3 linked regions of the Elephas maximus indicus genome follow. The protein of the gene in region 2 binds, or shares a complex with, the protein of the main gene of each other region. Links are inferred from orthologs where the notes say so. Each region holds a gene or a part of one and is shown on either strand. Other genes may lie near its edges.

Region 1 (10,314 bases), on a different chromosome or scaffold from region 2:
CCACGTAAGCGCAGCCCGCAGTGTCCTTGACCCAAAAAAGGGGAAGTGGAGAGGCCCAGGCCCTGACTTCAGCAGGTCTGCTCGGGAGCAGCTGGGGCCCCCAATTGCCCCAGGCTTGCGTCAGAGCACCCGCACCAGGGCCATTGTGCAATCCATGGTGAGGCCCAGCTCAGCTGGATGCCTGGGTCCCTGTATTTTTAGCCCCAAAGAAGAAGTGAAAAGGCCGTGAATCATCAGTTGTGGGGAGGACCCAGGCCCCTGGGCCCCAGTTCTGGGAAGCTGCCCTTGGGGAGGGGGCTCCGGGGAGGGAGTGCCCCACCAAGGTCCCTGCTCCCTGGAGAGCTTCAGGGGAGCTCAGCCATGGCCTTCATGCCTGGACAAGTGCAAGGAGGAGCTACCAGCCCAAGCCCAGCTGTTGGGGTGTGAGAGGTTCCAGTGACTCAGCCGGGTTGGTGGGACTGCCCCACCCAACACCTTCTGTTCCCATCTTCCTGCCCATCAGGACTGGTTGGCCTCCTGTCCTAGATCCCACAACTGCAGGGAAACTCCAAAACCATAGCGACCCAGAGCCCAAGTCCCCACACTAGAGTCCTGGAAAATGACCAGCAGTGTGTGTGTGTGTGTGTGTATGAACATGTACATCCCGGGAAATTCCTCCCCTTTCTCCTTGTCCTTCCTCGAAATGCCAGGGCCCACAGGGTAGGCCATCAGGAAGGCTGGGCTGGAACTCTTGGGCACAAGCTGAAGCTTCCATCCACAGGTGCAACTCCTTCCGGGAAGCCTCGGCCCTGCTCATGTAACTGATGAACCAACTCCCCCCATTATCTACATACTCTCCCTTATTTAAAGTCAACTGATTATGTACTTTAATCCCATCTACAAAATACCTTCACCTTCACAGCAACACCTAGATTAACATTTGAGTACCTTGGCACTATAGCCTACTCAGGTTGACACACACAACTGACCACCATAATCTACCCCTTGGCCACTTGGCACCAGTATACATTTTAAACTATACTGAATCTCCAAATAAATACACTAATGAAGTCATATTTCTGCCTAAAACCCATAATCCATTGCTGTTGAGTTGATCCTGACTCATATCAACCCTATAAGACAAAGAACTGTCCCATAGGGTTTCCAAGGAGTGGCTGGTGGATTTGATCTGACAACCTTTTGGTTGGCAGCCATAGCACTTAACCACTGGGCCACCAGGGCTCCATACTTCTACCTAACGTGATGCAGCTATCCTGTGTATGACCAAAAACGCACTAACCCTTTCCCCAGCAGAGCCCACCCTGGGGGACATGCCAGGTACTGGTGGAGGCGTGTCGGTGCCACACGAGAAGACTGGGGGACAGTTGGACCTACTGGGCAGAGGCAACATGACCACCTTACACAGAGGCTGGGGTGTGGCTTGCCACCACCCATGATCGAGGGCCCACAGTGCTGAAAACCACACCACATTGAAGGGGAAGACTAAAACAGAGCAGGGATGAGGCGAGGGGGTGGGTGCACAGCCCAGCAGCCACACACAGGATGGGACGTGTGCACCAGGAAGCTGTGTTCATTTGACAACCATTTAGTGAGCACCTAGTGTGGGCCAGGCCCAGTACAAAGATCCCTGCCCTGCTGGAGCAGATACCTTAGTGAGAGACCATAAACATGACAAAGTAGAACGTGTTATCTGATAGCGAGATGCTCCAAGAAGAAAAATAAGGCAGAGGAGTGAGATCAGAAGTAGAGATTTATAACAGCAAAAAACTTGGTACTTAGGAATAAGTCTAAGGCAAGAAACACAAGAGGAAAATTATTAAGCCGTTGAAAACCATTAAAGTTGAAGAGCTTAGGTTGGGTAGGGGTTTCACGGATATTAATTACTATGGTGTACGAACGGATGTTACCTGTATTTTCTTGTATTTATTATGTTATATAGATAAGATGGAAACCACAGTGGTGTAATGGTTAAGAGCTACAGCGGCTAATCAAAAGGTCAGCAGTTCAAATCCACCAGGCACTCCTTGGAAACCCTGTGGGGCAGTTCTACTCTGTCCTATAAGGCCGCTATGGCAACCGGTTTATAGATAAGATAGAGCCCTGGCAGCGCATGCGGTGGTTAAGAGCTCAGCTGCTAATCAAAAGGTCAGCAGTTCCAATCCACCAGCCACTCCTTGGAAACCCTAATGGCGCAGTTTTATTCTGTCCTATAGGGTGGCTATGAGTCAGAATTGACTCGATGACAATGAGTTTTTTTAAAATATAGATACACAAGATTATTATCTAAAAAAGGAAAGTTTTTTTTTTTTAACCTTTGACACAAATTAAGGAAAGCCTCACTGAGGCAATACTGGAGCAAAGACTTGAAGTGGGAATAAGTCATGTGAGCATGTGGGGCAAGGGCATTCCACAGAGAGGGAACAGCAAGTGCAAAGGCCCTGAGGTAGGGATGTGCTGTTGTGTTTATTGAACAGCAAGACGACCTGGGCCACAGTGAGGGGGTGGGAATAGGACAGGAAGTCGAAGCAGATCATGGAGGGACTTGGGGAGAACTTTGTTCTTACTAGGTTATTAGACCGAGTCCGGTGCACAACCACACACTCCAGGGAAGGGTGTATGTGAGATACACAGCCACTCCTGTAGGGAAAAGACCGTGGGGGATACACCCCATCCCAACAGAGGATACCATGATCTACCATCCTACAAGCGCGGTGTCCCCAGGGACCCTGTCACAGTGGCTGCACCACAAACTCTCTGAAGAAATAATCCAATGCCATGAATACACAAACAACCCTCTACCCAGCACTTAACCCGCTATCTGTCACCCCATCGCAGACTTTGCCCATCACAGGCTGACTCAGCCCTGCCCTCAGCCCAACACTATCAGAGGCAGTGTCGCTGGGCATAGATAAGGCCGAACACAGACGCTGCCGTGACTTCTCAGGTGCTGGTGTGTGTGCGTCTGCTCTGCCCACGAAGGCAGACACACCAACAACAACAGGGAGGGGGGCCCCCGCCAGCCGCCTCCCCATCACGCGCGCTGCAGACGTCAGGAACCAAGTTCACCAGTTTCACTGCCTTGTGACGGGGCCACAGGGGAACCACATCCAGACACTGGCCTACCATATTCTAATGCACACGCAATCTGTGACACCAACAAATAAGGCCACAGACGCATGTGAGCACTGTTCACACACCTGGTGATTACACACAAAACTGCCACAACCACACACACGCAGATGGGTGAGCTTACACACAAAGTTGTGTGTGCACAGCCCATCACACCCTCACACAGTTGAGGCCCCCATGTGGGGCACACACAGTTGTACATAGTTCTACAAGGCTGAGAGCACCTCTAGTCACACCAGAGGGCACACACCCGCGCCCAGGCATCTTCACGGAGTTACACACACCCTCAGCCACTCCAGATCCTGCCATGGCATACAGCTATACACAGATGTACAAGCAAAACTCCTGTCAGTCACACGTTGTCATGACTGCCACCTCAAAGCCAGATGCACATAGAGTTCCCACACCCACAGAGGGTTAAAATATGCACAATATGGTCAACCGCACAGGCATAGGCAGTTTGGCACACTTATTCACACACACAGTCACGTCTCATGCACCTTCCACCCTCGGTCTCACACAGCCGGTCATGCCGGGGCACACGCCTTCGCACCTGCAGCGCACACGCTGTTCACACTGCCGCGCGCGCGCGCGCGCGCGCACACACACACACAGGTCCCACGCTCCCTCTCCCCCACGCAGTCGCACACCCAGGCGCAGACAGCCAGCCCGTCCCCCAGGCACACTGGACTCACACCCAGTCAGTCCCGCCGGGCGCACACACGCCACAGGCACACACACGTGCTGCGAGTACGCGGCCCCCAGCTCGCCCGCCCGCCGGCCCGGCCGCCCGCCCGCGCGCTCACAACGGCTCTCACACCCCCGCGTTTCCCGTCCCCGCTTGTTTTTCTGGAAACTCTGCTCCCCGCTCCCCTCCCCCTAGGCCGGAAGTGTTTGCTGTATTTTTAGCCTCTCTGGTTTCCGCCCCTACCCCTCTCCCCTAGCCGCTCAGGACCTGCCCCCAGCGCCTTGGCGGGGGACCCCGGCCGTCCCCTTCCCCAACATCATTCCAAAGGGGATTCCCGGCCGCCGCCGCTGGGGCCGCGGATTTTCCCGCTGGCTACGTCGGGAGCGGGGAGGAGTCCAACGTGAACTTCCTCCTGGGCTGGGACGCCTGACCCCCGGGGGTGGGGGTGGGGGTGGGGGCGGGGGCTGGGAGCCCAGACTCCTGAGTCTGAGCCCGGAGGGGCCTGGGGGTCCGAATTCCTGGGTCTTGGGGAGGAGGGGGCTGGAGGCCCGAACTTCCAGGCTTGGGGGAGAAGGGGACAGGGGGCCGGGACTCCTGGGTCTGGGGGAGGAGGCTGCTTGAGAACCTGAACTCTTCTTTCGCGAGGAGGGGCTGAGATCCCGACCCCTGAGCCCCACAGGTCCGTGTTCGGGGTGCGGGGGGTCAGTCTGTCCGCCCGCAAGGTCCCCCCCTTAAGTCTTTTTGGCCCGGTCCCAAGCGTCCCGGCTCTCTGGCGGATGACTCAGCAGATGGGGGAAGGGAGGGAGGGTCAGCCTGACTCAGGGATGGGAAATGCTCCTTTTTTCCAGGGAATCGGAACGGGATTCCTACTCTAGGACCTCGGCCAGCGTCTAGCTGGGCCCCGGAGACCCCAGGGTGCCCCCACCCATGTTCTCCAGCCGTAGTCCTGTTAGCGGCACCGGGATTTGGAGTCCCCCTGGGAGGGGGCCCGAGGCACCACCACCCCATTTCCCGTTGTTTTGTAGGCTCTGTTTACAGAAGACAGAAGCCCTGGTTACAAGAGAGGAACCCGGGCGTCCGGCCCGAGCCTCCTCGTCACGGCTTCCAGGAAGCCCCCTCTCCCCCGCCCCTTGCAAGTGAGTCACGGGCAAGCGGGAGGCCGCAACCGTGCCAGAGCCGCCCGCGGCCGCTCAGTTCACGAGACCGGCCTGGGAAGGCCCCTGGGCCCCAGAATGCGCTGCACCAGGGATTCCCCCCGTGCTCCGAGGAGCAAATCGCCGCGGAGTCTGGCACAATCTCCCCACCTCAGTGCAAGCCCGCTGCCGCAGTCTGCAAGAATGAATTTTCCGTCATTATAACCCCTCAGTGACAATGGTTTCTTACCGCCTCACCCCTCTCCCTCTCCAGTTTGCGCCTAGGGCCCTACCCATTGCCTTCCAGTCGATTCTGACTGCCCCATAGAGTTTCCAAGGCTGTAATCTTTACAGAAGCAGACTGCCACATTTTTCTCCTGCTTGGCAGCTGGTGGCTTGGAACAGCCAACCTTTCTGTTAGCCCGCGAGTGCTTAACCAATGTTCCCAGGTCCACAACCCCCTTAAAGAACAAGCTTTCTTCCCATATCTTAAGAGAGTTTTCACTCAGGACATCCGCCTGACAATAAGAGACTTGCCAATGTGGGGAATGATCCTCAGCATAGTTGGAGTTCTTGAGGCCAACACCATGATAAACCTCATCCACACATCAGCTGGGGATGACTCATTTCTCCAATCTCAAAACCACTTTCAATCAAGGCAACCCTCCATCATAACAAAAGATCTCTTCCCCCTTTCTGTCTTCAGGATTTGCTCAGAGAGCAAACCTGTAAATATAACTTAAGGTACTGATATTTGGGCCGCTGCCGCTTAGTATAGCTGGGTAGCAAAGGGAGTAACTTTAACTCTGTGCCTCTCTTTTACACAAGTTTCCACTTGTGTAAAATGAGCATATTAATACCTGGTTGACTCATAGCAGTGATAAAGTGAAGGTATATAAAGTACTTAGAAGAGTGCCCAGCCCAGAAGTGACCTAGAATCGTCATCAGCTTCGCGAAGACGAGGGGCTACAGGGGCCCTGCTGAATTGAGAAAGGAGGCCCCTTTCCAGCCTGGCCAGGTAGCCGGGCCACCCACACAACCAACCCGCGAGTGGGGGCGGGAGGGCGGTCGGTCCAGGTCTCCGGATCTGTGTTGCTTGGAAGAGTGCCAAGGGCAGGTCTGGGAAGAGAACTCGCTTCCAGCCTACTGCGCCCATTTCCCCGTTTTGCCCCTTGGAGTTTCTGTCTCCCTCTTCGTGCGTTTATCACTGTTTTTCTCTGTCTCTTTGTACGAATCTCTCCATCCTGCTTCTCATTCTAAACTTCTCTCTGAGACTGTCTCTCATGATGTTTTCTGTCTCCCCACCTCCCCTCTCTCGGTGTGTTTCATCCTGTATATGTCTCTCTCTCCATGTCTGTCCCGCACTCACGCACGCACGCACACCCTCTCTTTTGTCTGTCTGTTCCCTTGTCAATTCCCCGTGGACCTCTGACCCGCCTCCGCCCCTGCTCCCTTCTTCGCGCCTCAGTCTCCAATCTTGAAAACTGGGCCGACACTCCGCACCCCACGCACCCCCCGACTGTGGGCCGGGCGGAAGGGGACTAGTCCAGGACTGGCGCGGCCCGCGCCGGGGGCGCGCGTCCGGGAAGCGCCCTCCTGATCCCGCCCCCCGCCCCGGCCCCGCCCCGATTAGCCCCACCCTCTGTCTATAAGAGGGTGGCCCTCCAGCCCCAACGCAGCCTCTGACTCCATCTCTTCTACTCTCGGCCGAGCCCTCAGCTGACCGGCCCCCAGCTCCGCCATGGATCTCACTGCTATCTACGAGGTGAGCCCCCGCAGCGGCCACCCCCTTTCAAACTAGCGCTCCTTAGCGCCGCAAACTCCGGCCCGGAGACCCTGGCTCCCTTCTCAAACTGAGGCTCCTTAGTGCCACCCACTCCGGCACGGGGTCCCTGCCTTTCTTCTCAGACCAGTGCGATTCTCTGGAGGCGAAAATGAAGCCCGGGACTCCCGGATCTCGTCCCCAATATGGGTGCGGTGACCCTGGAGATAGAAAGCCGGAGGATTTTTCTCCGACGAGGGCTGTCTAGAGGCGGAAACGGCCCCCGAACCTGGCTTACCCCTAGGAGTTGCTGAGGGCGCGCTTTTGCGCGTAGGCGGTTCAGGGGCAAGAGTCTGGAGGGGGAAGCCGACCTCTGTTCCTTGCCTGCCTCCCTCCCTGTCCAGGGGAAGGCTCTCAGAACTGAACCAAAGGGATCCGGACTCCGGGGTTAACTTTGACAGGATCTTCCAGTTATCATACTGGCGATCTAGGAGGCATGGGTCAGATCCGCGGAGTCCCAGAGGCTCAAAATTGGGGGACAGTGGTGTGCCCTGACTTTGGGGCCCCCTCTGTGCCCGGGATCGGAGAGCCCAAATTCCCGGGTGCCCCGGGGTAGGCTTCAGTCGTGGATAAACTCCAAGCCTCCAAATCGAGATTCCTGGAATCGCGAAACCCCGGGTTTCTGCGGGCGGGTGGGGCTCAAGTCAGAGCCCACAAACCCACAAACCGGGCGGGCAGGGCAGGCTCTTAAGGTGCCTTGCCCTGAAGCTGGGGCGGAGCGTCACCCTCCATTTTCGGTGTCTTAACCGCCCCCATTCCCACAGAGCCTCCTGTCGCTGAGTCCTGACCTGGCAGGGACAACCCGCGGAGGCACTGAGTCCAGCCTGGGATGGCCCTCCTCAGGACCCTGGAGCTCATCCGATTGCAGCCCTGCCGGCGTGGTCCCCCGCCTGCCCGGCCGCTCCACCAGCTTGGTGGAGGGCCGCGCCTGCGCCTGGGTGCCACCACCCCCAGGCTTCGCACCCCTGGCTCCACGCCCAGGCCCTGAGTTGTCACCCTCACCCACCTCGCCTACTGCAACCCCGGCCACCTCGTCCCGCTACAAGACTGAGCTGTGTCGGACCTTCTCTGAGAGCGGGCGCTGCCGCTACGGGGCTAAGTGTCAGTTTGCCCATGGCCTGAGTGAGCTGCGCCAGGCCAATCGCCACCCCAAGTACAAGACGGAACTCTGCCACAAGTTCTACCTCCAGGGCCGCTGCCCCTACGGCTCGCGCTGCCACTTCATCCACAACCCCAGCGAGGACTTGGCCACCCCTGGGCACCCCCACGTGTTGCGCCAGAGCGTCAGCTTCTCTGGCCTGCCCTCCGGCCGCCGGGCTTCACCACCACCAGCGGGCCTGCCGGGCCCTTCCCTGTCCTCCTGCTCCTTCTCGCCCTCCAGCTCCCCGCCACCACCGCCTGGGGACCTCCCACTCTCGCCCTCTGCTTTCTCTGCTGCCCCTGGGACCCCTGTGCCCCGAAGGGACCCCACCCCAACCTGTTGCCCCTCCTGTCGAAGAGCAACTCCCAGTCTCTGGGGACCCTTGGGTGGCCTGGCTCGGAGCCCCTCTGCACACTCCTTGGGATCCGACCCTGACGACTATGCCAGCAGCGGCAGCAGTCTGGGGGGCTCTGACTCACCTGTCTTCGAGACGGGGGTTTTTGGGCCACCCCAGCCGCCTGCAGCCCCCCGCCGACTCCCCATCTTCAATCGCATTTCCGTTTCTGAGTGACAAGTCCTCCCTAGTACAGATCAGCTGGATCACAGAGGGGGTCCATTTCTCATGCTGTGGACGCCACAAAGGGCCCTGGGGCTGTGGGGAACTGGGGGAGCCCTTGATCAAGTAGCCCCCTTCACCTTCCCAGATGCATTAACCCACTCTTCTGACCCTGCCCTGGGGCAGGTCCCCAGTGTGCCAGCTGGACAGTGTTTATGGTGTGGGAGATGGAGTGTTTGCTGGGTTCTTTAAAGACAAGATGTAGCATATTGGAGGGAGGCAGTGGGGTCCCCAGCTCTCCCCTGCCCAAATCGGTCTCTTAGAATCTCATGTGCTGTGAATAATAGGCCCCCACTGCCCCCTCCCAATTTTCCTAGACCTGAGGTCCCAACGCCTGGGGGTTAGTGGAGCCTCCCCTGAGAGGGAATCCTGGTGCTCAAATTTCTCTCCAAAAGCAAGCAGCCAAAGCCGTTGCCACCCCCCCGCCCAAGCCAATGGGTCTTTTATTTATGACGACTTTATTTATTCTAATAGATTTTATAGTATTTATATATATTGGGTCGTCTGCTCCCCTTGTATTTTTCTTTCTCCTTTTGTAATATTGGAAACAATGGAATAATTATTGTTATAAGTATACTATAATAATATATTAATATATATATTGTTACCTGAAAAGTCTATTTTTGTGTTTTTTGGAATTTTTAAATAAAAAGAATCAACGTGTAGACTGGAATCCTGGCTTTTCTAGCGTCCGAAGGGCGTGAGGAATGGGAAGGATGGATGGTGTGCCCGTTTTTAGAAGCGGGGTCAAGTTAAATAAGAACTCCAAACTTCCCCGGCGCGGAGCTCCTCCGGGCGCTTACCTGGCAGGAAGTGACATAATCGGCCGACCGTTCACCTGAGGGGGCGGGGCCAGGTGAGGTCACCCGGCAGGAGCCGGGAGAGCCAGTTCCCGGAGCGTGGGGGACACAGGCGCTCCCGTCCCGTCAGGCTGCCTGCCCTAGCTCTCGCCCGGGCGCGGGCGGGGACGGGATGTTTCCGTCCCCATGAGGCAGGCCGCAGGAGGAGGGCGGGGCAGAGCGGGAGGACGGAATGTGCTGGCGCTTGAGCCCAGGGGCGGGCCCCGCGGGCGCGGGGTGACGGGTGAGGGGGAAGGGGAGCGGTGGAGGGTCGGGAAGGGTCACCCCGGAAACGCCAGGGCGGGCGTTCTGGGCTCTCAGGAGCCAGCGCGTTAAGATTTGAGATTCTGAGGCATCTAGGCTTTTTCGAAATCTTGGGGGGAACTGTTTTAAAGGCTCAGGGTTCTAGGCTCTCAACATCTCAGAATCTCAGAATTTGTCTCTTGCCGAGTTAGAATTCTAGACCCCCAGAATTCCAGACCCTTGGCATCTCAAGACGTTAGGAATCGCAGAATTCTCGAACTCTGGTATTCCAGGATCCTGTTGTCCTATGCCTTCCAGACGATTCCGACTCACAGCGACCCTATAGGACAGAGGAGACCTGCTCCATAGGGTTTCCTGGGCTGTCATCTTTAATGGAGCAGATTGTCAGGTCTGTGCTTCCGCAGAGGGGCTGGTGGGTACCAACCGCCGACCTCTGGGTTAGCAGGAGCCCTTAGCCATTGGGCCACCAAGGCTCCTTTTCCAGGGTCCTAGAACCTGGGAATTAAAGAATCTTAGCAGGTCAGGCTTCTGAAAGTTCAGAATTACAGGATCTGGGCATTTCCGAACCTTGGAAGCGGGCAGGCCCCAGGCAGTTGCAGGACCGGCCAGGGTCAGCCTCCCCAGCGCAGTGTAGGTGAGTGTTGGCCGTGCGTCTCAGGGCGGAGCCCGGCGAGCCGCGACC
Region 2 (10,481 bases):
CAACTGGTTTAGTTCCTAAAAGGAGCCCTAGAGGCACAATGGGTAAGCGCTCAGCTGCTGACTGAAAGGTCAGACGTTGGAAACCACCAGCCGTTCAGAGGGAGAAAGATGCAGGGAGAAAGATGCGGCAGTTAGCTTCCATAAAGGTTTACAACCTTGGAAACTGTATGCGGCAGTTTTACTCTGTCCTATAGGGTTCCTACAAGTTGAATTTGACTCAACAGCAATGAGTTTTAGTTCACAAAGTTATGTTCTACATCCTAGTTTGGTGACTAGCACCTGGGGTCTTACAACTCTTCGTATCTACTCATCCAGAGCAAAAGAGAAAGGAGCAAACAAAAGAAAAGTAAAAACTAGTCTACAGGACAAATAGTCAACTTGAACCACAGCCTCATCTACCCTGAGACAAAAAGAACTAGATGGTGCCCAGCTACCACTACTGATCATTCTAATCAGGGCCACAAGAGGTGGACACTGATTGTGGAATGGAAAAAATATGTGGAACAGAACCTCAAACACCCCCCACCGCCCAAAAAAACCCAGACCTACTGGACTGGTTGAAACTGGAGGACTCCCTGAGACTACTGGCCTGAGATACTCTTCAAACCTTGAACCGAAGCTAACCCAAGGTCATCCTGTAGCTAAGTAACAAATTGGCTCAAAAAATAACTACTATCACGCATAAATACTGTGCTCCTTTAAAAAAAATCTATATGAGACCAAACAGTCAATAATTAAAACAAAGATGAGAATGTAAGGGGGCAGAGAAACTAAATTAATGAAACAGAATACCAAAATGGAAAAAATGAGAACATTCACGCATTGTGAAGAACATAACCAACATCACTGAACAACTTGTGTAGAAACTGTTGAATGGGAACCTAAACCTAACACAACAAGCATTATTAAAAGAAAGAAAAAAAAAAAAAGCGACTGATTGACCATACAGGTTCTCATTTTTTTGATGAACTATCAGATACCTGGATCTTTTATGTCTTTGTATTAAACTCTAATAATGTCACAACTCAAGTTAAACAGTATGAAAAGACAGAACATTAGGCTAGAGTAGGAAAACCTGACACACTCAGCTTTGCCATTACTTGACCTTAAATTAGTCACCTCACTTTCCTGGGCTTCAATTTCATAAAGTGATGGCAACAAAATTCTGAATGACAAACTTCCAAAGTTTAATTATCTAAAAAAAATAACAATTATAAATATATAGCCATAAGAGAGAGAATCCACGCCCTGAAAGAACAAAAACAAGACATACTGTTTCCTAAGAATGCCATGGTCTATAAATCTACCGAACTGTATCAAATGAAGTGCTATTCATTCATAAATCTGGGCAATGTTTACATTTTGAGGAAGGGGAGACTCCTTGCCCACAGAAAATTTACAGGCATACAATTAAGTGAACTTTCCAAGTAGTCTTTAGGAGGCCAAGAGAAATGTGAAAAATCAATTTGGCTAAGAATGATCAGGAAAGATTAGTAGACAACACATTTGAGTTTGGACTGGAATGAGGGATGAAGTTTTGGGAGATACAGATGACGGGGACTTTCCAGACAAAAGGGGCAGAGATGTATCTGGAGACAACTGTGTAGCAGTCTTTTGTTCACATAGCACAGAACATTAATGTGCTGCTACGGACAAGGAGGGGTCAGCCCTTCTAGCTCCAGATAAAGGTATCTGAAGGACTTCTGAGCAGAAAAAGGATATTTCCAAAGGACCAAATTTGGAAGCAAATCGGCAGTAATATAAAGAATGGTATTCCTAGAATCTTTTACAATTATAACGTATTCACATGTTATCTACATAAAAAAGAAACCCAATAAACAAATGGACTGGAAATGGTACTGGACATTAGTTAGAAAGCTACTGCAAAAAAGATAAAGGGTCTGAAACTAGACAAAAACTATTCTTACAACAGATCTATATAAAAAAGTAACAATTTCAAAAACTAGGAGCTATAAATTGAAGACTTGAGTGACAAACATTCAAGCTAATTTAATCATCTAAGGGAAAATGTTGAGCTCTTAATATGAATCTTAAAAACATTAGGATGGTGTATTTCAAAATATGCTTTCATCCCACCTTCTATTTCATATCGTTAGTTCAACATCACAAAAAACTCTCCTGCATACAATTTAATGTCTCAATCAACATTTTAGACTTTCCTCCTAACAACATTAAACATTTCTTAAATCCACCCTCTACACTCTGAAAGGCTGTATTTCCTTCAAACCTCAGAAGAGGGTTGCAGATTAAGTCTACACCTCTAATTGCTGACTTCTTAAAAGAATGCTTTTCAATGAAGGATTTAACTGTTTCGTTACATTCTTGCAAGACTGAGTGAAAAGTATGTTAAAATAAACTATTATGTACACAGGATGCAAAAGGTTTCCAAATGATTTTAGCTTTGAAACAGCTACTAAAAAATTGTGAGCAAACAGAAAAGGAACTGCTGGGATTTTCTATATATAAAGTCCTAAAATAAGGCTCAGTGGGATGCCATTTTGAAACTTCCCAGCAGGAAGTTCAGTTTGGTCAGAGGGCTATTTAAGAAGTGCTTCAGCTAATATTTTTGATGACTTGAAAGCTTTCTTCTTTTACAAAAGAATATGTCCAGTTAGTAAGGCACAGCATTTCAAAATGACTAACAAACATTTTACAAAAATCAGTGTTTTAATTGGAATTATTGTAGACAAATTGGCCAAAGATTTATCTAACAGAATGAAATAAAAAATCAAGTTTATAAATACAAGCTGGAAAAAGAACGTTTCTTCTAACTAGATCAGCATCTAACCAAAAACATACTTACAAAAATCAACATCAAAGATAATTGTGAAATTAGTCTTTAAAGCATGTTTTGAAGAGGTAGTAGGCATCTCCTTTTCTGGCTTCACATAGTTTTGTTTTTTATGATTTAATCCAAAGTTTAGAGAATGTCGAAGTACTTAACCTGAGATGATCCATGACAGGGAGACCAGGATTTAAATCTTCAGTAGAAATTTAAGAGACTAGGAAGAGCCACGGAACCAGGGAAGAGCATTTCAGCTCTGTTCCACCACAGTGCCAGAAAGCTTGCCTTAAAACTCCTAAGACAGACTCGGGGGACAGTAAGCGTGTTAATGGTGATGGCTGAACAACATGATGAACACACTTAATGTCACTGAACTGTACATGTGAAGATTGTTAAAATGGCAAATATTTTGTTACTCAGAGTATAAAAAAATTTTTTTTTTAATTTCTAAGACTACAATGTTAGGTAAGAAAGGGAAGTATTTTCATTTACTGGTCAAGTCTTTGTTCCTTGATTAAGTCTTTTTTAAGTTTTCACTGAAAGTCTTGGGGCCCACTTGTTGAAAAAGGACCAATCCTCCAAACAGATTTTATCAACATGCTGCCATTTCCGTCAAAACACTAGATGCCTAAGCTTTATGTATCATCAACCCATTTTCTTCTTAGACAAGGTAACAATTTGCAGTGTCCTAAAATGTGATTCAACTGTTACCATACAGCTTATTAACAATTAAAATACTGTACTACCAATCTTTGGAAGGCTAAGAATCTCAACCTGGGTCAAAGATCACTAAAGTATTAAATTCAAGTATCCCTTCTAAAACAAGTTTGTTCTTAATCTGTTTGACCTACTTGCTAATTTTTTCTCACCTTCCCCCATTTTTTCATCCATGTATCCCTATCCCTATCAAAGGGCCTGCCATAGAGGGAGTGTTCAGAATTTTTTCCTAAAAAAAGTACTCGATTATATTTCCTAAATTACTAACTGCTTAAAAAAAAAAAACAAAAAAACCCAGTCACATGCAACAGAGTTATAGAGAAATAGGCAGAAAAGCAAATAATAGAGTCCTAAGAAATGTGACATTCGACTGAGTGTCTTCAGAGGGATTTAATTGTAATATAGTTTCTATTAAGCACAACATTTTCAAACACATCGATCAGTATTTGTTTTGCTCTTTAACCCACAAAGCTTACTACTCGTGGGGGTGGTATCTGTACTAGCACAGCTGGATGAATTCTGCAAGGGGGAAGGATACCGGGGGAAAAAAGGTATTATTTGTGTGTTCGGCCTTAAGTAACCCCCGTTAGATCTGCGGCAAATTTCTCACCAGCAACTGTGGCCTACAAGCGTTCTCTTCGCTAGGGGTGCTCCCCGCGGACGGGCAGAACCGCCACTATTGCAGACAGCCGGCGGGTGGCTGGGGGCGGACGGCGGAGAAAACTGAGCGCACAGGCGCGCGAGCGGAACAAAACCTGTGGCCAGAAGTAATGAGGAAGTGCTCGCTCCCGCCCGCCCCTCCCACCCGTAGCCACCCGAAACATGGGGGATTTGACAACGTGCTGGGGGCGAGGAGGGGACTCGCAGATCCAGGTACACGGAGAAGAACCGGGAGCCCACAACTCCAAACACGGTCCCCCTGTCCACGGAAGTAGGCCTCGGGGGCCGATGCCCCTGCACCCATTCGGGAGCCCAGAGAGGAAAGAACAAGTTGAGGAGACTGGTGGGGTCTTAGGAGATGCAGATCGCGCGAAGTGAGGCCCAGTGGCCCAAACTGCCGCCACCGCCGCCGTCCTCGGAGCGTCCAGGCCCGGGCCGGGGGCCACCCCGGCTCTCACCCCGCGCTCTGCCATCCGTTTCCCGGAGCTTTCGCGCTGGCCTCTTTTCCTTAGGGCCCAAGCCTCCGCGAGTCGTAGGGGCAGAGTCCACCCTCCCCTGCCTCGCCACTTTCCCGGCCTGGCTGCTCCTCACTCCCCAGAACTCGGGCAACGTTTCCAATGGCCCCAGGACCACCCCCGTGCCTTTCCCCACCGGCACTCGCGTCCCGTAGCTGACCAGGTCCGCCTACGGCAACCCCAGGCTCCAGCCAACCTCACCTCACACGGCTGCGGCGGCGCTGGACACAGGAAACTCCTGGGTCCCCGACTCCGGCGCTCCTCGACCCCCTCTTCGGTTAACTCCGCTTGTTTCTCTACAAAATGGCGCCGAGGTCGCGCGCTCTCGTCGCGGCCTTTCCCCTCCCCGTTCCCATTTCATCATTCGTCGCCCGCCCGAGGGGGGATGGCCCCAGCACCAGCCAATGATCGCACCCGTCCCGTGGCTCCCGCCCAATCACCGACAGGTGCCCGCGGATTTAAACCAATCACACACTATCACTTGCAGAAGTCTAGGAAGAAACCAGGCTCCTGCTAGCAACTACCAATCCGGACTCCCACTTCGCAGGGTTTGGCCAATTGCCTCTCACAAGTCCCCAGGGGCTGGAGTTGGAGCCCTCGCGCCTGCGCTACGGGCGGGGCCAATGGGGATACGGAGAAAACTTCGATTTGTGGGTTCGTGTACTTCCCACCCTCGAGGTCTTCAACCAATAGGAGCTTGGCATTGCCTCTAAGAAACAATAAATAAGGGGGGAAACCCACAACCCTTCACTACCCTGCGCGGGAACTACTTTGAGTTGAAGTGAAGGGTCTTCCCCACTTTCTCTTTTGAAGTGTCGCAGGGCTTCCCAATCTAAACACCCCTCTCCCCTCCTGTCCCTTTCCTTAGAGCGGAGTAAAGTGGGGAACGCCAGCTACCAGGAAGCAAGCCAGTATATGACTAAAGCGGTGGCGCTCTGCACCCAGGGACGAGTAGTTGCTTTCTAGTACCCACCCCGGTTCTTGTCGTAAAGAGGACGTCTTTGACGTCACTTGCGGCGCCCAGGGAGGAGCAGTGCATCCTGGAGAATGTAGTCTTCCAGATCCTGCACCTGGTCATGATTTGCCTCGCTTTCGTCGAGTAACTTCTAGTTCTATGTTGAAGGGGTGCCCTACGGAGACGTAGGAAGCCCAGGTCCTCTTCCTGGATTGAGCTCTGAAAGCTATATCAGAAAGGATACCTGTGCTCTTTGCTGTCGGGAGAAAAGGTAGAGAGACTCATCTTCTGCTGTGATTTGTTATCTATAGTAAAAAATATAGTTCGTTAAGATTTCCCTCTTCCCACGCCAGCATGGGAGGTCTGGGAAGGAAGCGTTGACTGGCTCTTTTTCAATTCGAAAAAACCTATCCCTTTTCTCACCCTATCTTCAACCTAGCCATCTGTCTCATACTACCTTTTGTGCTTAAAAAAAATAAAATTTTTTTCGACACCTGCCTTTCTTTGCTTGGATGCCGAGTCTTTGCAGCAAACATTTATTGAACGTTTTTTCTTTTTCTTGTGTTTGCCAAGCAACTAACTGTATGAGGCTCAGAAACCCCATGTACAGCAAGAGCAAGGATCACTTCAATCTTGTTCGAAGCTGTATTCCCAGCACCTGACACAGCGCCTGGCACATAGTAGGCATGTGAGCAAATAAATGTTGAAAAATCAGGAAATGGAGAAATGGACTTACAATATTATAATGTTTAGGCCCCTTAAACAGGCCAAGTATGGGAATCAGGCCCTTTTCTACGTTGCTGCTGGTACTAAAAAATTGGTAAAATCTCTATGGATAGAATTTTGGCCAATTTTATCGAAACTGAAACTTCACAGAGTCACTAGCCCAGTAATTCCATATCTAGAAATTTATTCCACAGCTGAACATTGCAGATGTGCACAAAGAGGGATGCACAAGAATACTCACTGAAGCATTGTTTATGGGAAGCAAAAATTGGAAACAGTAGGGAAGTGGTTAAATAATTGTGTGGTACTGTCATACAATGAATTATGAATTGTTAAAAAGAATGAAGTAAATCTATATGTACTCGTATGGAATGGTCACTAAGATTTATTGTGAAAAAAATTATTAGGTGCAGAACTGGAAAAAAAAAGTAGCGAACTCAGAATGTTACATTCTTGTGGGAGAAAATAACTATATATTCCTATATTTAAAAAAAAAAAATATTTACATGTAACTAAATATGTAAAAAGATTCAGAAAGATACACCACCTCAACTGATACCAGTGGTTATTCTTGGAGTACCTGGTAGGCATTGCTGTCACGTCGATTCTGACTCATAACCAGGGGCTGGTTACCCAATAGGCAAAGTAACAATTTAACATTTTTTCACCACACCAAAGATTCTGCTTCTGGGTATGGCTGGCATCTCTCTCTCTCCCAGCCCACAGCACCTTCCTACAGAATCAAAGCCTCTTTTCAAATTTACAGGGGTGGATGACCCAGTAAGCAAGGTAAGCACTTACTAATCTGTAGTGAACAATTTCACATGGATTTCACATCAATTTCACAAAACCCGTGTGAAATTGTTTACTACAGATGATCTGGTAAGCAAGGTAAGCACTGTGCTTACCTTGCCTATTGGATAATGTGCCCCTGCTCATGGCAATGCTATGCGTTACAGAGTAGAACTGTTCCATAGGATTTTCATTGGCTCTGATCTTTATTACAGCAGACCACAAGGCCCTTCTACCATGGTGCTGCTGGATGGGTTCAAACTGCCAACCTTTAGGTTAGTTGTCGTTAGTTGCCCTAGCTGAGCACAAACTGCGCCACCCAGAGACCTCATTCCTGGGGAGAGGAGTGAAAATGAGGAAGAATAAAGGGAACTTTTGCTCTTAATTCTGTTATTGTATTATTTGCATTTCATATAAAAAGAATGTATTCATGTTTTGTTTGTGTCATTTCATATAACTTTTAAAAAGAGATAGAAATTGAGACCCAAAGAGATCAACTAAAATCAGCTCTGTAATCCTGCAACTACTAGTAATTGAAGCCTCAAACTTAGATCTCCTGAAATACAGCTGAGTTCCTTTCCCCCACTTCAGCCTGTGTGCCAAAAAAATGGTCTGCTGCTTTATACTGAGGCTGCTCTAGACCCTTGAGCCCACTGCCAGCCCTCCTCCGGAGTTGCTGCACCAACATCACTCCTAGAATTTGACCCACATGGGGCACACTTGAAGGCAACCAAGTACCTAAAGAGTTCACACAATAGGCTGGCGATCAAAGTCCTTCAGCTTATTCTCATCAGTACTGGTGGCTTTTATCTTTGCTAGGAAGCTAGAAAGTCCCACAGAATGTTTACAAATGGAAAGGGGTAGGGGAGAGCTGGTACACCTCCTCCTTTTACTGAAAGACAAAATAGTTAGAGATCACACCCAGACAAACTGTTTTACTAGAAACCGTCACAAAGGTCTGCATCATCTTATAATTCAGCAATTATGTGTACAGGAGCTCAAAGGTATTTAGAAACAAGACATTTCAGCCAGCTGTTAGTTACGCACCTGGCCTCTTTCCTTCCCCTTTTCCTACCAGGTCTTCACCCCAAATTAAGTGTACATAGGAGGCTCTGAAGTAACTTTACAAACTTTTCATTGTTTCCCAAAATAACCTAGAGAGGAAAATATAAGTGCTGGGAACAAGAGCTTTACTTAACTGGGTTAGGGATAGAAGTAAAAAAATAACTAGAAGACAAAGGACTTGCTTTGAAACCTGTATAAACTGTATTATAAAATGTTTGGAGGTGCTTGGAAAATGGTGAGCAGAAATACAAAGCCTTGTTATTCCATGTATAGGAGCCCTGGTGGTGCAGTGGTTAAGTGCTCAGCTGCTAACTAAAAGGTCAGCAGTTTGAACCCACCAGCTGCTCTGCAGGAGAAAGACGTGGCAGTCTGCTTCTGTAAAGATTATAGCCTAGGAAACCATATGGGGCATTTCTACTCAGGTCTCAAGGGTCAATGAGTCCAAACTGACTCGACAGCAACCAGTGTTAGTTTATGTTTCTATTACCCAGAACCAAACCTGTTACCATGGAGTCAATTCCAACTCATGGGGACTCCATGTGTTACAGAGCAGAGCTGCTCCATAGGGTTTTCTTGGGTGTGATCTTTACAGCCAAGGTGCTCCTTAGAGCCAAGGATGGCAAGACTTCGTCTCACATACTTTGGACATGTTATCAGAAGGGACCAGTTCCTGGAGATGGACATCATGCTTGGTAGATGGTCAGGAAAAAAGAGGAAAACCCTCAAAGAGATGGATTGACACAGTGGCTGCAACAATGGGCTCAAGGATAACAATGATTGTGGGAATGGCACAGGACCGGGTAGTATTTTACTCTGTTGTACATAGGGTCGCTATGAGTTGGAACCAACTCAATGGTACCTAACGACGTTGTTTTTAGGGGTGAAAGTATTACACCCTCCTACCACATGCTAAGCACTTTACATGCTTTATCTCATCCAAGCCTTAGGATTCTGCAAGGTAGGTATCGTGTTACTCCTTTTTACAGATTTTAGAGAGGTTCAGACACTTCCCCAAGATCACATACCTAATCAAAGGCGTAGCAAGGGTTAGAACCCAGGCTATCTGACCTCAGGGCCCACATCTCAGTCACCATGCTCTAAGCCCTGGTTTGGAAACCCCTCTGACTGGGTGGCCTCTAAGGTCCCAGCTGTAATATTCAGTGGCCCATCGGTGACCATATATTTTTCAAGTAAAAAAAAATCAGATGTAAAAATAAATAGTTAAAATGAGATGCGTAGTCTGACAGAGGGTTATACGTTGGTCAGATAAAAAAAAAAAAAAAATTTTTTTTTTTTTTTTTTTTTGGTGCTGAAAATACTGTGTGGCTGGTGTTTTCCAGGTGAGTTTACATTTGAATTCTTAGATTCTTTCCATAACAGGCAGTTTTGTTTCACGATGATGTGGGAAGCTTCTGTCTTTTTTTTTGAAAGGTCATTTCTCCTTCTGCCTCTTTTCCTGAGAGATAAGGAAGGAGCTAGAGAGGGAAGGGGGAAGACCACAGAGCATCCCTGGGTTGTGATTGGTTTAGGGTTATCTGACAATGGTTGTGTGTAAAAAAAGTTAGGGCAGATCTGAGAAACCTCCCTGGGCTCTAGACAGATGAGCAGACCTAGAATTACTCCTGATGGACCCAGGGCTGGACAGAGTCTGTGACTTTACCCCAGCTTTCTGTGCCTTCCCTGTGTGCAGAACTGATACTAGAAGTGATTGCCAGAAGCCTGGACCCTCGGCCCCTGCTGTTCATCCTCTGCCCAGGGTTGGGGGGGGGTCTGTCATCATTCTTCCCACTCAGGGTTCTTGCCTTGGCAGATGGTCATCATTTTGTATTACAGACACTTCTTTGGATACTATCTCAGCCCCCAATTTATACTTAACATCTTTTGCCTAGCACCTTTCTCTACCATCATCTTAGGGATTAGAGAGGTAAACTTAGAGAAGTAAATCTCTAGGTGGCATCGTTGTGGGGAAAAAAGAAAGCCTAAACCGTTGCTGTCAAGTCGATTCTGACTCATAGCGACCCTATAGACAGGGTAGAACTGCCCCATAGAGTTTCCAAGGAGCGCCTGGTGGATTCAAACTGCTGACCTTTTGATTAGCAGCCGTAGCACTTAACCACTACACCACCAGGGTTTCCTCATTGTGGGGAAGGAGACAAGAAGTTGAGGTTTGTCCCCCAAACTGGTCTTTACCACTCTGTATCTCCCTCTCTAGGTTATAAGTCAATCAGACATTTTAGTCTCTTCT
Region 3 (11,353 bases), on a different chromosome or scaffold from region 2:
AAACTTAGGCTCATGTTACCTTCTTTAGGAAGCCTTTCCCAGCTACCTTCCCCTCCCCTTTGTCTGTCCTCCCTCAACCACACTAAGATTGCTTAAACACTTCTTTCTCTATTCCCGCATCATGCTCTGTGCTCTATCTCTAGTACAGCACTTACTACACTGTATTATAAGCTGTGTGTTGACCTCTTTGTTTCTATCTAGAATTTGCTATTTGAAGCCAGGGAATGTGTTCTTTAATCTCTGCAACCCCACTAGGACAGTGTCTGACACACAAGAAGCAGAAACCCACCGTTTAAGAATTATGAAAAAATTAGTACTATCAATTTTCTTCAACCTGCTGTTAAAATACACAGCAGGGGAAGTTAGCCTCTGGAATCATAAATTCCCATTATATAGCCAATATAGTTACATTTACTAAGCTCTTTAAAAGAGCACCACTATGCACTGTATTACATATAACTTATCTCCCAAAGACTACATCTAAGTTTTTCTATGTGTATTTAAACTTTCCAGTTAAACGCAAAGCTGTCCTCAGACCCTGTTAAGAATTCAAGAGAAAAATGATTTATGAAGAATACGAATTGGTATGTAGTTACAGAATGCATTATGAAAACAGAAACAGTAAATCTGCCTAAAACTAGGATTCATGTTATGCATTGCTCAAAGAAGAAACTCCATGTTAAGAGTTGTAGGTCTTTGCAAATTTCTTGAGCTTTCCTTATGTCATTATGGGTCAGAGTGCCAAAATAAAAGAGAAAATAAAACTCTATTCTCTTAATGTTTTCCTTACAGAACCACAAGTAAGTAAAAGTCACTGACTTTGAAATTTCCAATGAAAAATATATATTTTAAAAATAACATTTAATGAAATTCTGAGATAAAGTTCCAAAGTTCACTAAAGCATTAGAGAAACAAAAAATGTATTGGTTACTTCTGTTTATAGATAACTATGCCTCCCAAACACTCAAATATTTCAGTACAAAGTTTTGGTTAACTGCATAAGATTTTACTTCAAATACTGAAAATGTCTCAATCATTTCTGCTAGCAGCCTCTCTTTCTTCTAAAGAAAAAAAAAAAAAAAAAACTAAAAGATGCAGGACATAAAATTGGCAGAGCCAATAAGACAAAACTTTTTCTTAATGCCTCAATTTACCCCGTTACCTGCTTTCGCACTAACTGAAGTAACTACATCCACTTTTGCACATTCATCATGTTCTCAGGGATTCCCTTAGTGGGGTAAGAGGAAAAAAAACTAAGCTTCTTTTTCGGTATCTTGCATGATCCAGTAACAGTTAAACTTTCTATGAATCTAGGACAGACAAGGTTTCTTTGAACTCTGCGATGCTAATTCTCCTATCAAAGCAATATTAGGGAGACAAAGGATAACTAATTATTTTTTAAGTATGTACAAAGAGATTCCCCTTTTCCTAAATTTCTTCACAATTATTAAAATTACTGTTCAGTTTTGAACATTTCATGAAAGCTCAATCAATATTGGCAAAAATATTCCTATTTCCTGTACATTTATTTGAATGCTCATATTTTAGGTTCCACTTTGAAAACACTCTTATTTAGAGGGCATTCTGTGGTAAAGATAGTATGCTAAAGCATAAAACTGTTACTACAAAATAGACATAGAAAACTGTCATTCTTGCCAATTTCCGTACTCTTGGGAGCACATATCCAAAACAAAAATATTACTTACTTTTCAGTGACTTTTACTGAAAAACCCTATGTAATAACAATTCACCTTTATTCTGATCCTTGTGCCAAAGGCAAAGCACTCTTCTTGGGGAACTACTCATATTCTGCAGCTATGCCAGTTCTCCGGAAGCCATCAACTCAGCTGAAAAAAATATAAATGTGTCTTTTTAAAAGAATCAAATATACAAAATTAAAACTTAAAAAAATCATTTATACAACAAAGATTAATCCTTTGATTATTAAAAACCACAAACTTACTAAAAACATTTAAAACATGACGCTCAACACAGACACACACACAGACACACACACACACACGATCAACAGGACTGTAGGAGCACTGCTACGCAAAATGAGGGACTCCAGAAGGAGCCAGCACCTTGATTAACTTGTGTCTTGGTTTATTTACCCTGCTACATTTTGAAACTAAGAAAGAGTATATGCTTTGTTGATTTTATAAACATAGTTACATAATAATGTCTTTAAACACCAGTTACATGATGTGCTGATATATATTTCAAAAGGCAGGTAAACTTGGAGCTTTCACTTTTCTTTCAAAACTAAATGTGTGGGTTTCTTTCTCAAACTTAGGCCTAAGTCTGAACTTTTCCTCAAGTTCTACCCAAACATCTCTCACTCACCTACTTTAATGCCACAACTTTTAAATTCATTTACTTAGTAATATATCATTTACTGAGCTACTCCAATTTGAAGGGCTGAGGTAGAGATACAAATGTGCAGATGATACAACCCATACCCTCACTTCAAGGGTCACCAGACTTTCCTACTTTCATCCTTCTATCATCATTGAGGCAAGAAATTTTAGCATCAGCTTTAACCTCATTTTCCTCCATCCAAACCTCAGCCTCTTCATAGCTACTATCCTAATTCAGACACTCCTCTCTGTCACAACCTCCACCCCGTATTATGCAACATTTACTAAGCACAGTCCTAAGTCCCATACATACATTATCTCATTTAATTTTCATAATAATCCTAAAGGATAGGGATTATTATCTCCATTTTACAGATAGGCAAATAGGCTTAGAGGGAGTAAGTAATTTATCCATGGTCACAGAATTAGGAAGAAACAAAACTAAGTACTGCCAGAGCCCACATTTCTATATTCCATCCTCATCCATGAACTGCATCAATTGCTTTCCAGTCTCCATTCTCTCAATTTTTTTCACCCAATGAATCTTTTACACTATAATATCCTTTCTAACGGCTACTCTTTGGGCATTATCAGCTAAGTTATGCAGTAATCGTCACCTTAACTTCATCGCTGAAGGAGAAAATAAAGTCGTATCTTCCTATATATTCCAAGAAAACGCTCTTAGTAAGTGCTAAATTGATTGATGCTAATTCCTTCCCCTTTTTAACAGCTCATGACTACCCATAAAAGAAATTCAAATGCTTCTCTGTGTTTGGGATTCATACACTTCCTATTTCTAAATACAAATCCTGTTCTACACAAACTATTACATTTTAACATTTCCTCCCATATCCACCACCACCAACTGACTTAAATATGGAATTTTGCTTTATCTATTTTGGAAACCTCATCCTCACTGGTCTCACAGTCTACCCCGTTGCTAAAATATATATATATAAACCACTGCTCTGATTTCCAAGGGCTTTCTTTCCTAAAAAGATCCATATGACAAACACACAACAAGATAAAATTAGTGGTGTGGCTGAAAGTAAAGAAGGAAGTTAGCCTACATAAAATTTATCTCCAATTCAAAGAATGAATCTGAATGATTTTATGACATATGAAAGGGTATAATGACCCAAAGCTGGAAAACTCTTTGTTTTTCTCTTGTGGTCCTCTGTTTTTGCAAAAGGTAGCTGTCTTAAAATGACAATAATCAGTAAACTGGTCCTTCCAAAAGACTCATGGTTGTTATTTAAGTCCAGTTTACTCATTTAACAATTTTTTGAGAAGTAGAAATGGTCATTAGTTTGTAATCTAGTAGAACACAGACTTTAAACAATTTCACAAGTAAATATACAATTACAAGTTCCAATAAGTGATAAAAAGTGAAAGTACAGGGCAAGATGAGAGATTACAACAGGGTATTTAAGATTTGGTGGTAAAGGGTAGGGAACATTAAGAAAAGTACCACTTGAACAGAAAATTAAGTAAGTTGATTGGGGAATGGTGGTGCTGGAACAATCCAAGAAAACAGAAAAGAATTTCTTTTTTATTTTATAAAAGTGCAAAGGCCCTGAGATAGGTAAGAACCTGGCATGACTGAAAAGTAGCAGCATGGATGCTGCTTAGTGACAGAGAGAATGGTGCAAGATGAAGCTAGTGAAGCAAGAGCCGAGTTACACAGTTTTACAGACCACAGTAAGGATTCTGAATTTGATCTTTACTATTCAACATAATGGAAATGCTGGTGGCTTAGTGGTTAAGAGCTACAGCTGCTAACCAAAAGGCTGGCAGTTCGAATCCACCAGCCACTCCCTGGAAACCCTATGGGGCAGTTCTACTCTGTCCAATAGGGTCACTGTGAGTCAGAATCAACTCGACGGCAATGGGTTGTTTTTTTTTTTTTAACTCAGTGTAATAAGCACTTAGTGATGGGAGATGCATGGGAGGGTTTTAAGCAGAGAAAATGCCATATTACTGCTGAATGGAGAAGTGACGTGGTTTGTTTGGGTCTGGGGACAAGAACAGTGGAGGGAGCAAGAACAGAAGAAAACAGAGCAACCAGATAGAATACTTAAGTTGTTCGGCTTATAACAACAATTACAATAACAAGTAACACTTATTGGCCATTTACCATGTACCAAGTGCTCATCGTGGTTATCTCATTTAATCCTCCCAACAATCCAATAAGGTAGAACCTTTTATTATTTCCATTTTACAGATGAAAATACTTGGAACCAGTGAGATTAAGTCCAGGTGAAAGGCGACTGTAGCTCGAACTAAAAAAGGTGGTAGTGAAGATGTAGAGAAATAGATTCAAGACATATATTGAAGTATAATAGATAGAATTTGGAGAGGGTATGGATACACAGGATGAGGGAAAAGCCAAGAATGACTTTCAAGTTTCTAACCTGTGTAACTGGATAAATGGATGTATCATTTAATAAAATGGGACACTGGAAGAAAAAGAATTTGGGTGTGGGAAGAATGACCAAGACATGTTTCAGACATGTTATATTTGAAATTCCTCTGAAAAAATTAAGTAGAGATGTCAAACAGGCAGTTGGCTATTTAGATGTGGAGTTCAAAGCAAAGGGATTGGATGGGAAATAAACATTCTTAAGTTTTCAATGTAGAGATGGAATTTGAGGCTTATGGAAGGCAAAAGTAAAAGCAGAAGAGGACCTAGGGCTGAAGTCCAGATATTCAAAATAGAAACACCTCTTACTAAGATCACTAATTACTTCTATGTCACCAGGGTTTTTTCAGTCCTCATTCAATTTTACCTTTCAGCAGAATTCAACACTATTGACAACTTCTTTCATCTCTTTTGCAAGGCTCATTCTCCTTTATCCAGTTATTAAATGTTAAGAATTCTTCAATGCTCCCTCCTAGGTCCCCTTCTTTTCTAGCACTATACTCTATGCAATTTCATCCACATCCATAGCTTCAATTACTACCAACATGACTCTCTGTTTATGTGTATATATACAGTCCCTATGAGTCGGAATTGACTTGACAGCAACAGGTTTTTTACAGGTGTACACATGTATATACAATTGTCAGCCCAGAAATTCTTCTCTGAGCTCCAACAGCATATCCAACTGTCTACCTGACATCTCCTTTAAGATAGCTCTTCCAGTTACAGGCCCGTCAGGCATCGTTGTTAGTTGCCATCCAGTCAATTTTGAGTCGTGGTGACCCCATGTGTGCAAAGTAGAACTCCTCCATAGGGTTTTCCAAGCTATGACTTTTTGGAAGCAGATTGCCAGGCCTATCTTCTGAGGCACCTCTAGCTGGGTCTGAACTGCCAACGTTTCAGTTAGTAGTCCATAAATTAACCATTTGAGCCACCCAGAGACTCCTGTCTGGCATTAGCAACCTCCCCCCCGCCCCCCCGCAAAAGGCATTCACAGAGCTAACATTTTGAGGGGATTACAACAAAACCAAACAGCCCTGGTGGCACAATGGTTACGAGCTCGACAGCCAACCAAAAGGTTGGTCCAGCGGCTCCATGGGAGAAAGACCTGGTGATCTGCTTCCATAAACACTGCAGCCAAGAAAACCCTCCAGGGCCGTTCTACTCTGTCACATGGAGTCACTAGGAGTGGAGAACGACTCGAGGGCACCCAGCCACCACCACCACCACAAAACCATTACAGGACAACTCGTCAGAATACAGGGCTTTGCCATCAATTACCATTTCCTTCTGCGGATCATAACCTAAAACGGGTAAACCTGACAACCTAATCTGATGGCCAGAAATGGGGAACACCAGACAGATGCACGACAAAAAATATAATTCATGCCTTTTGGTGAAGGATACTTAGGAGAGGAAAGAAAGTGAAGAATGGTCCAGAGACTGAATTGAGTATCATGTCTAGGACCCGATGGAATGTGCGGCAACGGAAGTCACCTGAAGAGACAGCAGGCCTCATTAAGTGGCAAGTGGTGGACGACAGCAGGAGCCAGTTTCGGACTGCGGAGGGCACGGGACAGTAAAGACCAGGTTTTAAGAGAGGGAGAGCCTGGGGGGAAGCCCCAAGTCGAGTATCTGAGGCTAGGGACCGTCGAGGGGTTGGGGGGCGGGCTGAGAAGCAGCGCGGTGAACTCTTTAAGAGTGAACGCCGAGTGGGCGGACAGCGAAGGGGAGGGGGGCTGGGAGAAACAGCTCAGTTGAGAAGCTTGCCGGGCCCGCCTTACCTGTGCCTGCGAGTCAGGAGCCCCAGAACAGGCCTACCGGAAACACAGAGTCCGAGCGGAGGAGGAGGAACCGGGAGTAAAGTAGGGGTACCGGCCACTGTGGAGCGGGGCCGCTCACTCCCCCAGTCAGGGAGAGCGGCTGATGGCGGGAACTGTGACCACACGCAAACACGCACGCACGCACGCACACTCGACGCGACCAAACCAGGCGTGCGCGCAAGCCTATAACTCCGCCCTTCCTACGCCTTCGCCCCGCCTCGGCACCAAGCGACGCCCTGCACAGAAGCCCCGCCCCTGCCGTGACTGTAGTACGCACGCGCACTTTCCATTTCATCCCCCTTTCGAGCTCCCACCATTTCCCTCCTACTGAGCCCAGTCGGGCATGCGCACTAACAGGCCTCCCGAGACTGCTCCTCTTTTCCCGCCCTTCACTGGCTTCCGAAGGAGGGTCAGAGTTCACACCCGTAAGGATGCCTACTTGAAGCCGGGGATACGGGGACTAGCGGGTCGCGGACGTCCTCCCTGAATCTTAAGGGGCAAAAGACATACTGTGAGACTTTTAACTCCGCCGAGGGCAGGGAGGCGGGAAGAGGTTGTGTGGGCGGGGTCAGGGGTGAGAGGTCAGAGGGCGGCGAAGGGGGCGGAGCGAGCCGGAGGCGGATGGCGGCTGCGGCGGCTCATCATCTTCGGCGGCAGCGGCGCTGAAGCAGGACGCGGATCGGGCGCGTCCGGCGGTAGGAGGAGAGTGGCGGCCGCCCCCAACATGCACAGCCTGGCGACGGCTGCGGTGAGTGGCTGGACCGGCCGGCCTGGGCCCAGAACCCCTCCTCAGCCCTGCGTTTCGACCTCCTCTCCCAGCTCCCTGTGTCGGCCCCGAGTCCAGCTCCTTCTGCCCTCAGCCGGCGAGGCCCTGCTTCCCTCCTCGCCGCGCCTTTCCTGCGATGCGGCTGGCCGCCGCTCTCCTCGGCTGACGGCTCTCGCTGCCTGTCTCTGCGCGTAGCGTTCTGTTCCGGCCCTGGGGCCTGGTCCAGCGCCCGGAGCGTCTCCCTCGCGGCCCGGGCCGGCCATTCATTGATTCCTTACGCTGACCAACAGTTTGAGAGCCGCAATGGTGTGCTGGGCGCCGGCGGGGCCGAGGGGGATCCCGTGGTAAATCTGACGCGGCCGGTGCTCTCGGAACTTACTGCCTAACGCAGCAGGATGGGAATGGCTTCTAGCTCAAACCACTAGCTTTTACAGATGGAAAACCTGAAGCCCGGAGAAGTGAATAAATATGCATCTGGTTATGATTCTTTGCTTTTAAAACCTTTCACACATCTCGTCCCAACAGCTTACCAGGCTTTACCAGCGTGCTCTTTTAACAAGAAAAGCGCAACGTGTATTTCACCTGTCTGAAGTACTTCTATGGCTTCCCATTGCACTTAGATAAAATCTAGACTCCTTGCCATGGCCTGCAAGGCCCTGTGTGATGTCGTCCTTACTCACGTTTTCAGCCTTGTCTTATGTCACTGGAACCTGATGGCACAGTGGTTAAGGGCACGGCTGCTATCCAAAAGGTCAGCGGTTGGATTCCACCAGCTGCTCTTTGGAAACCCTATGGGACAGTTCTACTCCGTCCTGTAGGGTCTTTATGACCCGGAATCGACTTCACTGCAACGGGTTTGGTTTTTTAATTTGGTTCTTATGTCAGTTGCTCCATGTGCTTTAGCTACACTGCCCCCTTGCTAACCCTCCTCCATGTGCTTTTCCACTCCTGGGTGCACCTCTGGTCTCTATGTCTGAAATGCTTTTCTTCCCTCTGTGTGTGTTTGTGTGTCTCACACACACAAACACACACACACACACCATGTGGGTGTAACAGGCTCTCATCCTTCTGGTCTCCACCTAAATGTGCTTCAGAGTGGCCTTCCCTGGCCACCTTATTCAGAGTAGCCAACTTTTCTCTTTCAGAGTACCCTGCCTAATACCGATCCTAATATGTAGCTATTGTATGAAGTTACTAGCTTGTTGTCCTCCCCCTTGAACACAGAAACAGGGATCATTTGGGTCCTGTTTACATTGTTTCCCCAGTGCTAGGATAGTTTCTGCTACCATTTAGTAACTCAAATACTTTGTTCAGTGAAGTAATATAAATGCAGGAGGTGACCACTGAGAACATGTAGCCATAATGGGAAAAAGGGATCATTTGATTTTAGTGAACGCTTCTGCATGCCAGTCCTACTTTTTCAGTTTCACCAAGGACAAAGTGACTTAAGCAGATAATAACGTGCTGAAATTGCATTACCAGGCAACATGACATAAGTTCTAAATAGAGCACAAAAGAAATTGCCTTAACTTTAAATATAACAACTGAAGAAAAAGTGAGCCAAGTGTGGCTAGCCTATAGCAAACATTGCTTTCTGAGATTTGATCCTTATCAAGTCATCATTTCCAGGGCCAGTGGCATCTCTGTCTCCTGTCACCATGTTTGTAATTGTGGAGAGGTACTTTTTAAATCTTAATTTGATTTTAATTTCCCTAGCTTTTTTATTCTACCTCCCAAATTTGGGAAGAAGTACATTGCAAGGTAAGGCTGCTGCTGGTAGGGGAAAAAAGAAAACAGGAGAGAGGCAGATTAAACTGAGGGAGATTCTTGTAAGGTTGGCTCTCTCTCAAAATCTTTGTCTTCCCCAGGATTTGTACTTTTGATACCAAGCCATTCTCCAATTTTATTTTCAATAGTTCATCTTTTGAACAGCCATTGAAGCTGTGGTACATTAAGAATAATAAATACTCAGTATATGCTTCTTCAATGTACAATGCCTTATATTTACTTAAGAATTTAAACTTTTACATGTACTTGCACCTGTTACACTAGTTGGACTGTACAGCAGCTCTGACAAGTTCCTTTGTACCACTCATCCACTGAGCTATTTGATTAGTGAGGAGACTGAGGCATAGAAAAGTTGACTCACCTCGTTCCCAATCCCTCATGTCATCTGTTAGACCAAACTGGGAATTATGATCTGGGTAAAAGGACAATAATGATGTATATCACTCATTAGAAGATGGGGAGAGTTAATAATACATGCAACATTACCCACAATAATCTAAGCTACTTGAGAAGATGCTTACATATTGCCCAATAATGAAAATTTATATTTGTGTATGTGCCTTTATCACTCCCTTCTCCCTTCTTTTTTTTTTTAAATAGCAGGAAAGTTATTTCTTCAGGCAGGGAGATAGAAAGTACTATCATAGGATGATGTGATCACACGTGAATTCAGGCTATTCTTTGTAGAGGGAGAGATTGAGATAATTGGGGAAGTACCTTAAATCTTGAGAGTAGAGTAATATTTTATTATGCTAGAACTGTGCAGTAGACAAGGAGCTGTGGATAAGCACTTGGCTGCTAACCTGAATATTGCTGGTTCAAACTCACCAGCTGCCCCACAGGGGAAAGATGTGACAGTCTGCTTCCGGAAAGATGGCAGCCTTGGAAACCCTGTGCGGCGGTTCTGCTCTGTCCAATAGGGTCACTATGAGTCGAAATCAACTCGACAGCAATGGATTTGGTTTTGATGTAGTAGACTTGTCATTCTTGAGGGAATACATCCTAACAACTTTGTTATTGCCAACATAGAATATAATAGGGACAGTAATACCACACGAGATTATTCTAAAGATTGAACAAGAATGACAAACTGCTTAGTGGTTGGCTCACTTCACTCACTGGTTAAATGACTTGCTTCCAGACTTCAGCCTTGGGATTTTAGTTCCTACCTCTGCAAAGTAATAACTTTGTTATGGACCTTGGAGATTGCTTCAGATTAAAACAACTACAAATCTTCACATACCTAGAGTTGTTATCTTCCGTAATGAATGTTATGCTAGTGATCTGAAAGCCAAAGGTATACCTTTAAGAAATGCTTTGGAGATACATATACATATATATATTTTTCTTAATTTCCCACTAATTCCCAATAACAATTGTAGCATCCTTAAGCCATAATCTTTCCCTTACTTTCTACCTGGTCATTTTATATACTTTTGTTGAAGCTGTGATGAACTCCCAGAAGCCCTCCCTTTTGGAAAGTAGAAAGAACACTGCACACTGAAGGATCTCCTCCTGGGTCTCCCATTGAAGCTTTAGTCAAATTGCTTAACTTCTCTTTGCTTGTTCACATCTATTTTTCAAAAAGTTACCTTGAAGAATATTCTGGCCCTTATTTTACAAGATAAGAGGTTAATAAAGCTAATTGAATACTTGAAGCACTATTTAGAAAGTTCTATTTTTTTTGGTGTGGAGCTCTGATGGTGCAGTGGTTAAGAGCTTGGCTGCTAACCGAAAGCTTGGCAGTTCAAATCCACCAGCCACTCCTTGGAAACCCCATGGGGGCAGTTCTGTCTATGGGGTCACTATGAGTCAGAATCAACTTGACAGCAACGGTTTTGGCTTGGTTTTTTCTTGGCATATCATCATTATGTTGACACCCAAAGCCACTTGAATCATCTCCAGACTTTAGAAAATAATTCCTATTTCAATCTAAGTCAATTTTTGAATTCACTGTCACATATTCATTGGTGTCAGGAAAACTGACAGCTATCTTGGCCCTTGAACATAATGTTATATTGATAGATTTGGCTATTTCTGTTTAAGAAAGCCATCTATATTAATTTTTTAATTAACCCAAAAGGAAAAAATCATAATTAAGATAATTTCTAATATCTGTCTCCTTGTCATAGTAAATGTTAAGATCTTTCAGAGATCGAAAACCAACTGTCAATACCCAGTGTTTGTTGACACT

What was found. Proteins that work in one complex are often made in the same cells at the same time.
Region 1: the proteins of CNOT1 (region 2) and ZFP36 are in contact, whole or in part, in a crystal structure (PDB 4J8S), measured with the Homo sapiens proteins. The link is inferred for Elephas maximus indicus from reciprocal best matches to the Homo sapiens genes CNOT1 and ZFP36. Residues at the interface, in NP_057368.3 of Homo sapiens: Gln821, Glu835, Asp845, Ala848, Asn849, Phe852, Gln853, Tyr856, Asn894, Glu897, Glu898, Phe901, Gln904, Tyr905, Pro906, Glu909; in NP_003398.3 of Homo sapiens: Arg314, Arg315, Leu316, Pro317, Ile318, Phe319, Arg321, Ile322, Ser323, Val324, Ser325.
Region 3: the proteins of CNOT1 (region 2) and CNOT9 are in contact, whole or in part, in a crystal structure (PDB 4CRU), measured with the Homo sapiens proteins. The link is inferred for Elephas maximus indicus from reciprocal best matches to the Homo sapiens genes CNOT1 and CNOT9. Residues at the interface, in NP_057368.3 of Homo sapiens: Ile1415, Ala1416, Thr1418, Thr1419, Gln1422, Ile1423, Lys1426, Asp1427, Phe1428, Met1444, Asn1447, Leu1448, Gly1451, Met1452, Met1454, Ile1455, Arg1458, Glu1459, Tyr1548, Gln1549, Arg1552, Met1553, Pro1554, Gln1556, Ile1557, Leu1559, Val1564, Lys1567, Gln1568, Leu1569; in NP_005435.1 of Homo sapiens: Arg19, Glu20, Tyr23, Ile26, Asn27, Ser30, Ser31, Pro32, Arg35, Pro54, Met55, Trp57, His58, Ser59, Phe60, Gly61, Ile63, Ala64, Ala65, Leu67, Gln68, Val71, Asn72, Tyr74, Pro75, Ser76, Ile77, Asn78, Pro79, Thr81.

The regions. Positions count from the first base shown.
Region 1 is NC_064829.1:112,053,809-112,064,122, reverse strand, and holds ZFP36 (mRNA decay activator protein ZFP36), read left to right. Parts: upstream 1-6,617; 5' UTR 6,618-6,691; coding exon 6,692-6,715; intron 6,716-7,536; coding exon 7,537-8,484; 3' UTR 8,485-8,589; downstream 8,590-10,314. UniProt on the Homo sapiens protein: Zinc-finger RNA-binding protein that destabilizes several cytoplasmic AU-rich element (ARE)-containing mRNA transcripts by promoting their poly(A) tail removal or deadenylation, and hence provide a mechanism for attenuating protein synthesis.
Region 2 is NC_064839.1:25,358,046-25,368,526, forward strand, and holds the start of CNOT1 (CCR4-NOT transcription complex subunit 1), read right to left. Parts: upstream 5,039-10,481; 5' UTR 4,900-5,038; intron 1-4,899.
Region 3 is NC_064824.1:117,127,780-117,139,132, forward strand, and holds the start of CNOT9 (CCR4-NOT transcription complex subunit 9), read left to right. Parts: upstream 1-7,128; 5' UTR 7,129-7,329; coding exon 7,330-7,353; intron 7,354-11,353. UniProt on the Homo sapiens protein: Component of the CCR4-NOT complex which is one of the major cellular mRNA deadenylases and is linked to various cellular processes including bulk mRNA degradation, miRNA-mediated repression, translational repression during translational initiation and general transcription regulation.